Linked DNA regions of Saccharomyces cerevisiae S288C. The protein of the gene in region 3 interacts with the protein of the main gene of each other region in a pairwise test. Each region holds a gene or a part of one and is shown on either strand. Other genes may lie near its edges.

Region 1 (3,620 bases), on a different chromosome or scaffold from region 3:
GGAAAAACAAATTGAGTTCCTTGGTGAAGAAATTTGAAGACAATGCCAAGATTCATAAATATAGACGGATTATCAGGGAAGGTACGGAAATGAATATTGAAGAAGTAGATAGTTCGCTGGATGTAATACTACAGACATTGATAGCCAACAATAATAAAAATAAGGGCGCAGAACAGATCATCACAATCTCAAACGCGAATAGTCATGCATAAAATATACATAAATAGAGGAACTTTACATGTATCCATATACTGAAAAATAGATAAAACAATGAGATAATATTTATTAACTTCTACGTAAATAAAAAGTTACATAAGGATCAACCTTTTTTTCTTTATTTTCTTTTTTTTTTTTATTTTTCATTTTCAATTACAAACTAAGACATAACAGTAAGCAGTGCTTTTTCTGTGCATGTTTTCCTCTTTTTATAATGATATTGGCTAAAATAAAATTAACAAAAACAGATGAGTGATATAGATTATATTCATTACAGTTCGTTTTCCTAACTCACATAATAATAGCTTCCTTTGGAACATTATCGGAGATAGACTTATGAGGTAAGACTTTACCACCGTTGATGTAGATTTCGTCCTTAACTTCAACGTCGTCACCCAAGACAGTGACACCTTCCAAACGACACCATTGACCAACGGTAGAGTTCCAGCCTACGATGGTAGATTTGACCAAGGAGTGGTTCTTGATGGTGGAGTTGCACAAAACAACAGATCTGGTGATTCTAACACCATCACCGATGGTGACATTAGGACCGATAACCACGTCTGGGCCAATCTTAGCAGTGGAGGAAATCTTAGCGGTTGGGTCGATCAAGGCATTACCAACAATGTTGGCACCTGTAGCCAATTTTTTTGGTTGTCTCTTGGCCAAAGAGTTCAAGTAAAGAACGGTACCAGACAAGAAGTCCTTTGGTTGACCAACATCCATCCAGAAACCTTCCAAATCGAAGGAATATAGTTGTTTTTCTTCGACCAAGATTGGGAAAGTTTCCTTTTCAATTGAAGTTGGCTTCATTTCAATCAAGTCAATGACTTCTGGGTTTAAAATGTACAAACCGGCGTTAATTCTGTTACCAACAAATTCCTTTGGCTTTTCAACAAATCTGTCAATCAAGTTTGGAGTAGCTATATCATGGACAATGACACCGTATTTAGAAGGTTCGTCGACCTTGGTAGCAACAATGGTACCTTTACCACCGTGAGCTTTGTGGAAGTCAGCCAATTCCTTGAATGGATATTCGCAAATGACGTCGGAGTTTAGGACGAAAAATGGAGAGTTGTCCTTCTTCAAAACATCTTCAGCCAATTTCAATGGACCTGCAGTACCTAATGGTTCAGTTTCTACAGAGAAAGTGATGTTAACACCATATTCCTTTTCGTACTTCTTCAAAGTTTCCACCATGACTTCTGGTCTGTAATTAACAGCAAGAACGATGTCAGTAACACCAGCGTTGGCTAAAGCCTCGATTTGGTGTAAAATCATTGGTCTATTACCGAATTCAACCAGTGGCTTTGGAACGGTCAAAGTTAAAGGTCTCAATCTGGTACCGTAACCACCGACTAAAATTAAACCTTTCATTTTTCAATTATATATGTTTTATTTGTTGAAGTTGTAGCTTGTCTTGTGCTGATAATATTTTGTTTGTATAGTCAACAAAATATTTGGACAGAAGAAAAGAGTTAGCGAATGTAAAGTAGTTTGCACACTTGATGAACGTTATCAAAGTCAAAGAGGTGAGAACAAGATAGACAAAGAAAAAAAAAATACAGTTTTGGAGAAAAGAAAACAAGACTATGTGAAACTTCTAACAATGACGTGAAAAGTCTACTATATATATGTTTACAAGAGCGCCACGAGGCAAGGAAAAAAAGAAAACAAAGCGAGAAACCACCAGCTTACTTTACTACCGGTCAGCTGTGGTTCTGTGTCTGTTCGTCTGTTTGTTTGTTTGTTTGTTTATTGCTGCGCTGTTCATGCTGAAAAACGACAAAAACAAAGAAAAAAAAGTTTTTCAGAGATTGAGATAAAAATAAACGTGGTGGCTCCCGAGGCATTTCTAGCTGGCCAGCAAGTACACGGTGGCCGTTTCTTTTGGCGTTTTTTTTTTCTGTTTTCGCGTTCTTCATGCTGTGCGTTGCTGGTGAGGTGGCGTGGACGGTTTGGTTTAGGCAATGATAGAAAAAGCTATAGTCAGAGTTGCAGGAAAGGACGAAAGTAGTCCATTTGGTGCCGTTATCCAAGGGTCTTGCTCTTAGTCTTGCTTTTCACCCAGCACGCGGTAAGAAGGATCGGGTGCAGCATGAAGAATGCTGACTGTACGCGTTTCGATTTGAAGCTTTAGGATGTTCTGTGGGTTGGGTTGGCTCGATCGACAGTGCGTATAGTGACCTTTGAACTGTACCGGGTGGCACGTCGTGCACAGAATCAGAAGTAGTTATAAAAGATTTGTAATTGCGTATATGCAACCAAGTTTAGGCTTTCTCCGTGCCGTTTTTTAAGGTGAAATGTACTCCTCTTGAAAATGTAAAAAAATGGAGCCTCGCAGAGCAGCTTGCCAAGCAGGTTGATACAAGGTGAGCCGCCGAAACATAACGATAAACGTGGTATAGTTTTCGATTGCCTTTAGTTTGGGTGGTCTCAGTGCTGGCACCTGACGAACTATTCGTAGGCAGGAGAACTTGCATCATGTGGTGTTCTTCCGAGATAGGGATGCCGTTTGGTCCTTACGAAAGTCAATGTTCTGGTACTACTAATTATTAACATAGTTCGTTGTATACACACTCTTTACTTTCATAAGAAATAAAAAGCACGTCTAAGAAATCTCTACGTCTTGGCTGCGGCAAGCAACTGCATAGAAAGCACATAGTAGTAACTCTAAAATGCGAGCTTCATACAGACAATTACATAAATGCAACATAGGCAGCATGGGATCCTGGGTTTCATATCGTCAAAGAAAGCCACCAACTGGCTTTACCATAAAAATACGAAAAGAAGTGCACACATTCTTCTTTTTGGCTCATCACAAGTTCTTCAATTTACTGTCATTACTTTTGTTTCCTTGTCAGATAATGTATGGGTGGTGTGTACACCAAGGTATTTTTTTTTTTACTTGGCAGATCTGCAATGCATAATAGAATGGTAAGGGAACGAGTAACAGACGGGAAGCGAATGCGAACACAAAGAATATAAATTTGAAATCTCCTGTTGCAAAGGATTCTCTAGACATTTACTATCTCAGTGACAATTCTCGAGTGAAACAAGAAATTGAGATGGTAGGTCAGCGCCCATACTTCTTGAATCAATTGGAGGAGCGGATAAAGCAAGTTTCCCCCCTCAATGTAAATCATCTTAAGCAAAATTTTAAAATCTAGGCACATATAAAGAGAAAATGGGAATGATTTTGCTGGATAGGCTACAGTGTTAGGAATGCAGAATTAGGAACTATAGATGATGCGATTAAAGATATTAAACGAGAAGTGACAGTGGTGGCTTCGACAACGGCAGTCGTGCTCGGTCGACAACGTGTATGTTTTTGCCGAGCAGAGCAGGGAAAGTCCTTCTTTCTGCGCGTGAATCAAAACACATTGGTATCGAATTTAACATAT
Region 2 (3,037 bases), on a different chromosome or scaffold from region 3:
TCTAGTTTAAACAGTGATAAAATTCCATATGTTGCACCTACAAAAAAAGAATATATCGAGTTGGATATATTGAATAAGGGATGGAAGTTACAAAGTTTAAACGAATCTAAAGATCTCCTACGCGCAAGTTTTAATAAACTGAGTTCCATATTACAGAACGAACATGACTATTGGAATAAGATAATGCAGAGTATTAGCAACAAGGATGTTATTTTTAAGATTAGGGACAGGACTAGTGGTCAAAAGCTGTTGGCAATTAAGTATGGTTACGAAGACTCTGGATCTACCTATAAGCATGACAGAGGTATTGCTAATATAAGGAATAATATAGAATCACAAAATTTGGATTTGATACCCCACAGTAGTTCAGTGTTCAAAGGCACTGATTTCGTACATTCAGTAAAGAAATTCTTAAGGGTTCGTATCTTCACAAAAATCGAATCAGAAGATGATTACATATTGAGTGGCGAAAGTGTGATGGATAGGGATAGTGAAAGTGAAGAAGCTGAAACGAAAGATATCAGAAAGCAAATCCAACTTTTGAAAAAGATCATTTTTGAAAAAGAACTGATGTACCAAATAAAGAAAGAATGCGCTTTGTTGATTTCCTATGGTGTCAGTATTGAAAACGAAAACAAGGTAATAATTGAACTACCTAACGAAAAATTTGAAATCGAGTTGTTGTCCCTTGACGATGACTCCATTGTCAATCATGAACAAGACTTACCAAAAATCAACGACAAGAGAGCAAATTTAATGCTTGTTATGTTGAGACTATTATTAGTCGTTATATTCAAGAAAACATTACGATCGAGAATAAGCTCACCCCACGGACTGATCAATTTGAATGTTGACGATGATATCTTAATAATACGTCCCATTCTTGGTAAAGTTCGGTTTGCTAATTACAAACTGTTACTAAAAAAAATCATAAAGGATTACGTGCTCGATATAGTTCCTGGCTCAAGTATAACAGAAACGGAAGTTGAGAGAGAACAACCTCAAGAAAATAAAAACATTGATGATGAAAATATAACTAAATTAAATAAAGAGATCCGTGCCTTCGATAAACTATTGAATATACCTAGACGTGAACTCAAAATAAATCTACCATTAACTGAGCACAAAAGCCCTAATCTAAGTTTAATGCTCGAAAGTCCTAACTATTGTAACGCACTCATTCACATCAAGTTTTCAGCTGGTACGGAAGCCAACGCAGTGTCCTTTGACACAACATTTTCTGATTTTAAAGAAGTAGAGGACTTCCTACATTTTATTGTCGCTGAGTACATCCAGCAAAAGAAGGTGTAATATCCTGAGTCACTCCTTAAACCTACATACATTGCCATAGAATGCCATTTATTACTATATAAAGTCGCATACGTACAAAAGGACAAGATCTTATCTTCGAAAACAAGAATATGAAGGATTTAATAACATTGCCAGGTTAAGAACGGTGTAACAACAATAGAAGTAACACAACACCAATAGCAAACAAACCAACTACAGATATGACTTACACATTGGCAATTTTAGGCTGCGGTGTTATGGGCCAAGCACTTCTTTCCGCCATTTATAATGCTCCAAAGGCGGCTGATGAAACTGCTGCTGCATTTTACCCTTCCAAAATTATCACATGTAACCATGATGAACCTAGTGCACAACAAGTTACCGATCTAGTTGAGACATTCGACGAATCTCCTAACGGTATTAAAGTCGAAAGCACTTACGGTCACAACGTGAGCGCTGTCGAAGAAGCTTCTGTAGTTCTTCTTGGTACCAAGCCATTTTTGGCCGAAGAAGTGTTGAATGGTGTGAAGAGCGTCATTGGGGGAAAGCTACTTATTTCCCTGGCTGCTGGCTGGACAATTGACCAATTGAGTCAATACACTAGCACTGTTTGCCGTGTTATGACGAACACACCTGCCAAGTACGGATATGGTTGTGCGGTGGTGTCCTACTCAGCTGATGTTTCCAAAGAGCAAAAGCCACTGGTCAACGAATTGATTAGCCAAGTTGGTAAATACGTTGAGCTTCCAGAAAAGAACATGGATGCTGCTACGGCTTTAGTCGGTTCAGGCCCCGCTTTTGTTCTCTTGATGTTAGAATCCTTGATGGAGAGTGGGTTGAAATTGGGAATCCCATTACAAGAGAGTAAGGAGTGTGCCATGAAAGTTCTAGAAGGAACAGTGAAGATGGTTGAGAAAAGCGGTGCTCATCCATCCGTTTTAAAGCATCAAGTTTGCACACCAGGTGGTACAACTATTGCCGGGTTGTGCGTAATGGAAGAAAAGGGCGTCAAGAGCGGTATTATCAATGGTGTTGAAGAGGCAGCCCGTGTTGCGTCACAATTAGGCCAAAAGAAGAAATAGATTGCTTTGCGTGAAATGTATGTATGTTCGCTTTGTAGCCGTATATTATTTTTTTATTACTGACCTTGCATTTTTTCGTCATTTTCCCGTCGGTCCGATAATGAATCATCACGATGAATGACTACCCCATAATAATGACACTAATTGGAGCGTATAAAAGAAAAAAATTATATAAATGTGTTTGTAATGAGTAAGAGCAATTGATTCATTTGAAATGAAAATCAAAAATCAAAATTAAAATAAAACTAAGCAACCATGTCAAGCGGCAGTACTATTGTTTCGTCTGACAAGTCGGGGCGAACATTTAAGCATGAGGAAGAACTACCCAAGTTACCATTACCTAAACTCTGTGACACTTTGCAGCGTCTGAAGGAGAGTTTAGAGCCATTGTATTATGCTGATGGTTACTATCAACATCCTTTAGATCCAGAACAAATTGAGAAGCTGTCATCCATAATAAGAGATTTTGAAGAGAATCCCGTAAGTGAGAAGCTGCAATCTAAACTACAGAGCTACCATGACACTAGGGATTGCTACCTTGATGAATTACACTTAGACATCAATAACCAGACCTCCACTAGGGAGATTCAGGACGATGTCCTACCCAGGAATCCCTTCTTGGTTCTCGCAGATGACGCTTTGCCAAACATCACTCAAGCTGATAG
Region 3 (2,787 bases):
TATGAACCTTTCCAGGATTGTAAGCATGATCAAAAATTCTATTTTTATATCTGGTAAAGAAATCTCATATGAAAACGAAAAAAACATACTTGTCTTTTCTAAATCCTCTTCGCATGGCCAACATTGTGTGTCTACTGTATTAACAAGTTTTGAAGCAGTATGCGATTTCATGTTAGACGGATTAGCCTTTAGAGACAGAAAGACCTTAAGTTATGAGCTAGGTCCCTTGTTCAATACGGAGTTTACCAAATTTGTGAAAAATAATGCATCGATAATTTTAGAATCACTTGATTCACCGCTAAAAAATCTAGTTTCTGTCATAAATAACAAACTAACTAGACTAGTTGCCAAATCAGAAGTTACCAATTGGACACATTCCGGTAAAGAGATTCAGGATTTGTTAATGAACAAACAATTATACTACAATTTATTACTAGATAAAGTTCTTGAATCGCATATTAGTGAGATAAGAAGTATATTTGAAGATCCAAAAAAGAGCTGGCAAAATTTGGAAGTAGTTGAGCTCACTACTAGCAATACTAATACGATGAGCGAAAAAATTGGAAAAAATGATTCAGATGTACAGAACGAAAAAGAACTCCATAATGCCGTATCCAAAGATGATGATTGGAATTGGGAAGTAGAGGATGATGATGCCGATGCATGGGGTGATGAAATTGATGTAAATATTGACGACGAGGAAGAAAAAACAAATCAAGAGAAGGAAAAAGAACCAGAAGAAGAAGAAAATGCCTGGGATGAAGCCTGGGCAATTGACGAAAATATAGATGATGCTTCCCTAGAAAATGGAAAGGAACATTTAAAAGCTCATGATGTAGGATCACTTGATAAAGACCACATTGAAGTTACACAGTTACCAAAATTGTTCTTGGCAATTTCACAGAATTTCAAGAGTAGCTTTGCAGATAGCCATGTTGATGAGCAATACTTTGCGTACAAATACAACCTTTTGCAGACATCGTATATGGCCATGTGCACAGCTAATTTTTCTCACAATTGGTGCCAATTATATGTGGATATGAGATATCTAATAGAACGAGATGAAAAGCTGTATAGAATAAAAGAATTAACAAGGAACCTGCTGGAAACTAAACTGAACATGAAATATCGTATTGTCTGTCAACTAATCAGGCATCAATTGACCGAATTTCGTGAGAACGAGAGAAATCCATCGTGGGACGCCACCATTGAGAAACTGCTACCTTATATCTTGAAGGAAATTGTTCGTCCACTGCAGAAAATAAGAGGTGAAGAAGGTTCCCGTTACTTGTTGTCTTTCTTAAACTTTTTATATAACGATTGCGTGACAAAGGAAATATTAAAATGGCAGATTATCTCTGAGGTCAATTCCGAAAATTTGGGTGAGCTCGTATCTTTATTAGTGAACAACACCGATATACAATTATTAGCGAAGGAACCAAGTTACAAAAAGATGAGAGAAAAATTCGCCACTATGGGCAAGTTTCTACCATTACATTTAAAGGAGATTATGGAGATGTTTTACAATGGGGATTTTTATCTTTTTGCGACAGACGAACTAATCCAATGGATAGAGTTATTGTTTGCCGACACTCCCCTGCGAAGGAATGCCATTGATGATATTTACGAAATTAGAGGCACTGCTCTAGATGATTAAAAAATAATTAATCGTAGGATAGGTTACATGATCATTGCAATAGATGTACATCTTGTATTACGTATGCGTAAGTTGTCTTTTTTTCAGTTTTCTAATAAATTTCACGTGATGCGGTAGTTTTTTTTGGGGGTGCAAAGTTGGCACATCTTGTAGTGCATTTTTGAGCTTCTTAAATGACTTGAATCATCTTAAAACATTGCAGGATGAGATTTCCAACGACACAAGAGAGAACTAGCGCAAAAGATGGCAGAGATAAAACATTATCAATTCAATGTCGTCATGACCTGCTCGGGATGTTCTGGTGCAGTCAATAAAGTTTTGACGAAATTAGAACCAGACGTTTCCAAAATAGATATATCCCTTGAAAAGCAATTAGTAGATGTATATACTACACTTCCTTACGATTTTATTTTAGAAAAGATTAAGAAAACCGGAAAGGAAGTTAGATCTGGCAAACAATTGTGAATGAAAGTGAAGAGAAATAGTTTTTTACTCTATTTTGTATTGTAGCTACTTAAGTAAATGATTAATATTCTCAATAGGATGCTTACGAAGAAAAAAGTCTTTTTTTATTGTTTTATTGTTTTATTCTTTGTTGGCTATGTAGCCATTTGCCTTTTCAGTATAATCTTACTAATATAAAAATCTCAATCATGGTGAGAAATCGTTTTATAAGAAAAATGAAAAAAAACTTGTTTAAATCAAATCACTTATCATATTTGAAGAGTAAATGGAAAGTAAAGATCACTGGACAAATAAAAATGGATTTTGATAATTTACTAAACCTAGAAGAACAGTATTACCAAGAAGGTTTTCTGGAGGGCCAGAATGAGAATATAAAGCAGAGCTTTCTAGAAGGTAAACAGTATGGTTTACAAGTGGGATTCCAAAGATTTACGCTCCTGGGACAAATGGAAGGTTTGTGTGATGTTATAGAATCGTATGGATTGCATAGTCCAACACTAGAAAAGAATATACATACCATTCGTACTTTAATGAAAGGTTTGAAAATGAATAACGATGATGAAAGTGTGATGGAATTTGAGAGGGTGTTAATAAAATTGAAAAATAAGTTTAGAACCATTCTAATAACTCTTCATCGATTAGTTAAAGATAAAAGAACCCCCACC

Evidence for each region.
Region 1: the proteins of ATX1 (region 3) and PSA1 interact in a protein complementation assay, tested with the Saccharomyces cerevisiae proteins (one large-scale study listed by BioGRID).
Region 2: the proteins of ATX1 (region 3) and PRO3 interact in a protein complementation assay, tested with the Saccharomyces cerevisiae proteins (one large-scale study listed by BioGRID).

The regions. Positions count from the first base shown.
Region 1 is NC_001136.10:355,167-358,786, forward strand, and holds PSA1 (mannose-1-phosphate guanylyltransferase), read right to left. Parts: upstream 1,594-3,620; coding exon 508-1,593; downstream 1-507. Other genes in the region: transcription factor MBP1, read left to right, coding at 1-212. UniProt on the Saccharomyces cerevisiae protein: Involved in cell wall synthesis where it is required for glycosylation. Involved in cell cycle progression through cell-size checkpoint.
Region 2 is NC_001137.3:199,565-202,601, forward strand, and holds PRO3 (pyrroline-5-carboxylate reductase), read left to right. Parts: upstream 1-1,511; coding exon 1,512-2,372; downstream 2,373-3,037. Other genes in the region: SRB4 (Srb4p), read left to right, coding at 1-1,311; carnitine O-acetyltransferase YAT2, read left to right, coding at 2,628-3,037.
Region 3 is NC_001146.8:156,979-159,765, reverse strand, and holds ATX1 (copper metallochaperone ATX1), read left to right. Parts: upstream 1-1,900; coding exon 1,901-2,122; downstream 2,123-2,787. Other genes in the region: DSL1 (Dsl1p), read left to right, coding at 1-1,657; ribosome biosynthesis protein LTO1, read left to right, coding at 2,419-2,787. UniProt on the Saccharomyces cerevisiae protein: Copper homeostasis factor that specifically transports copper to the secretory pathway for incorporation into copper enzymes destined for the cell surface or extracellular milieu.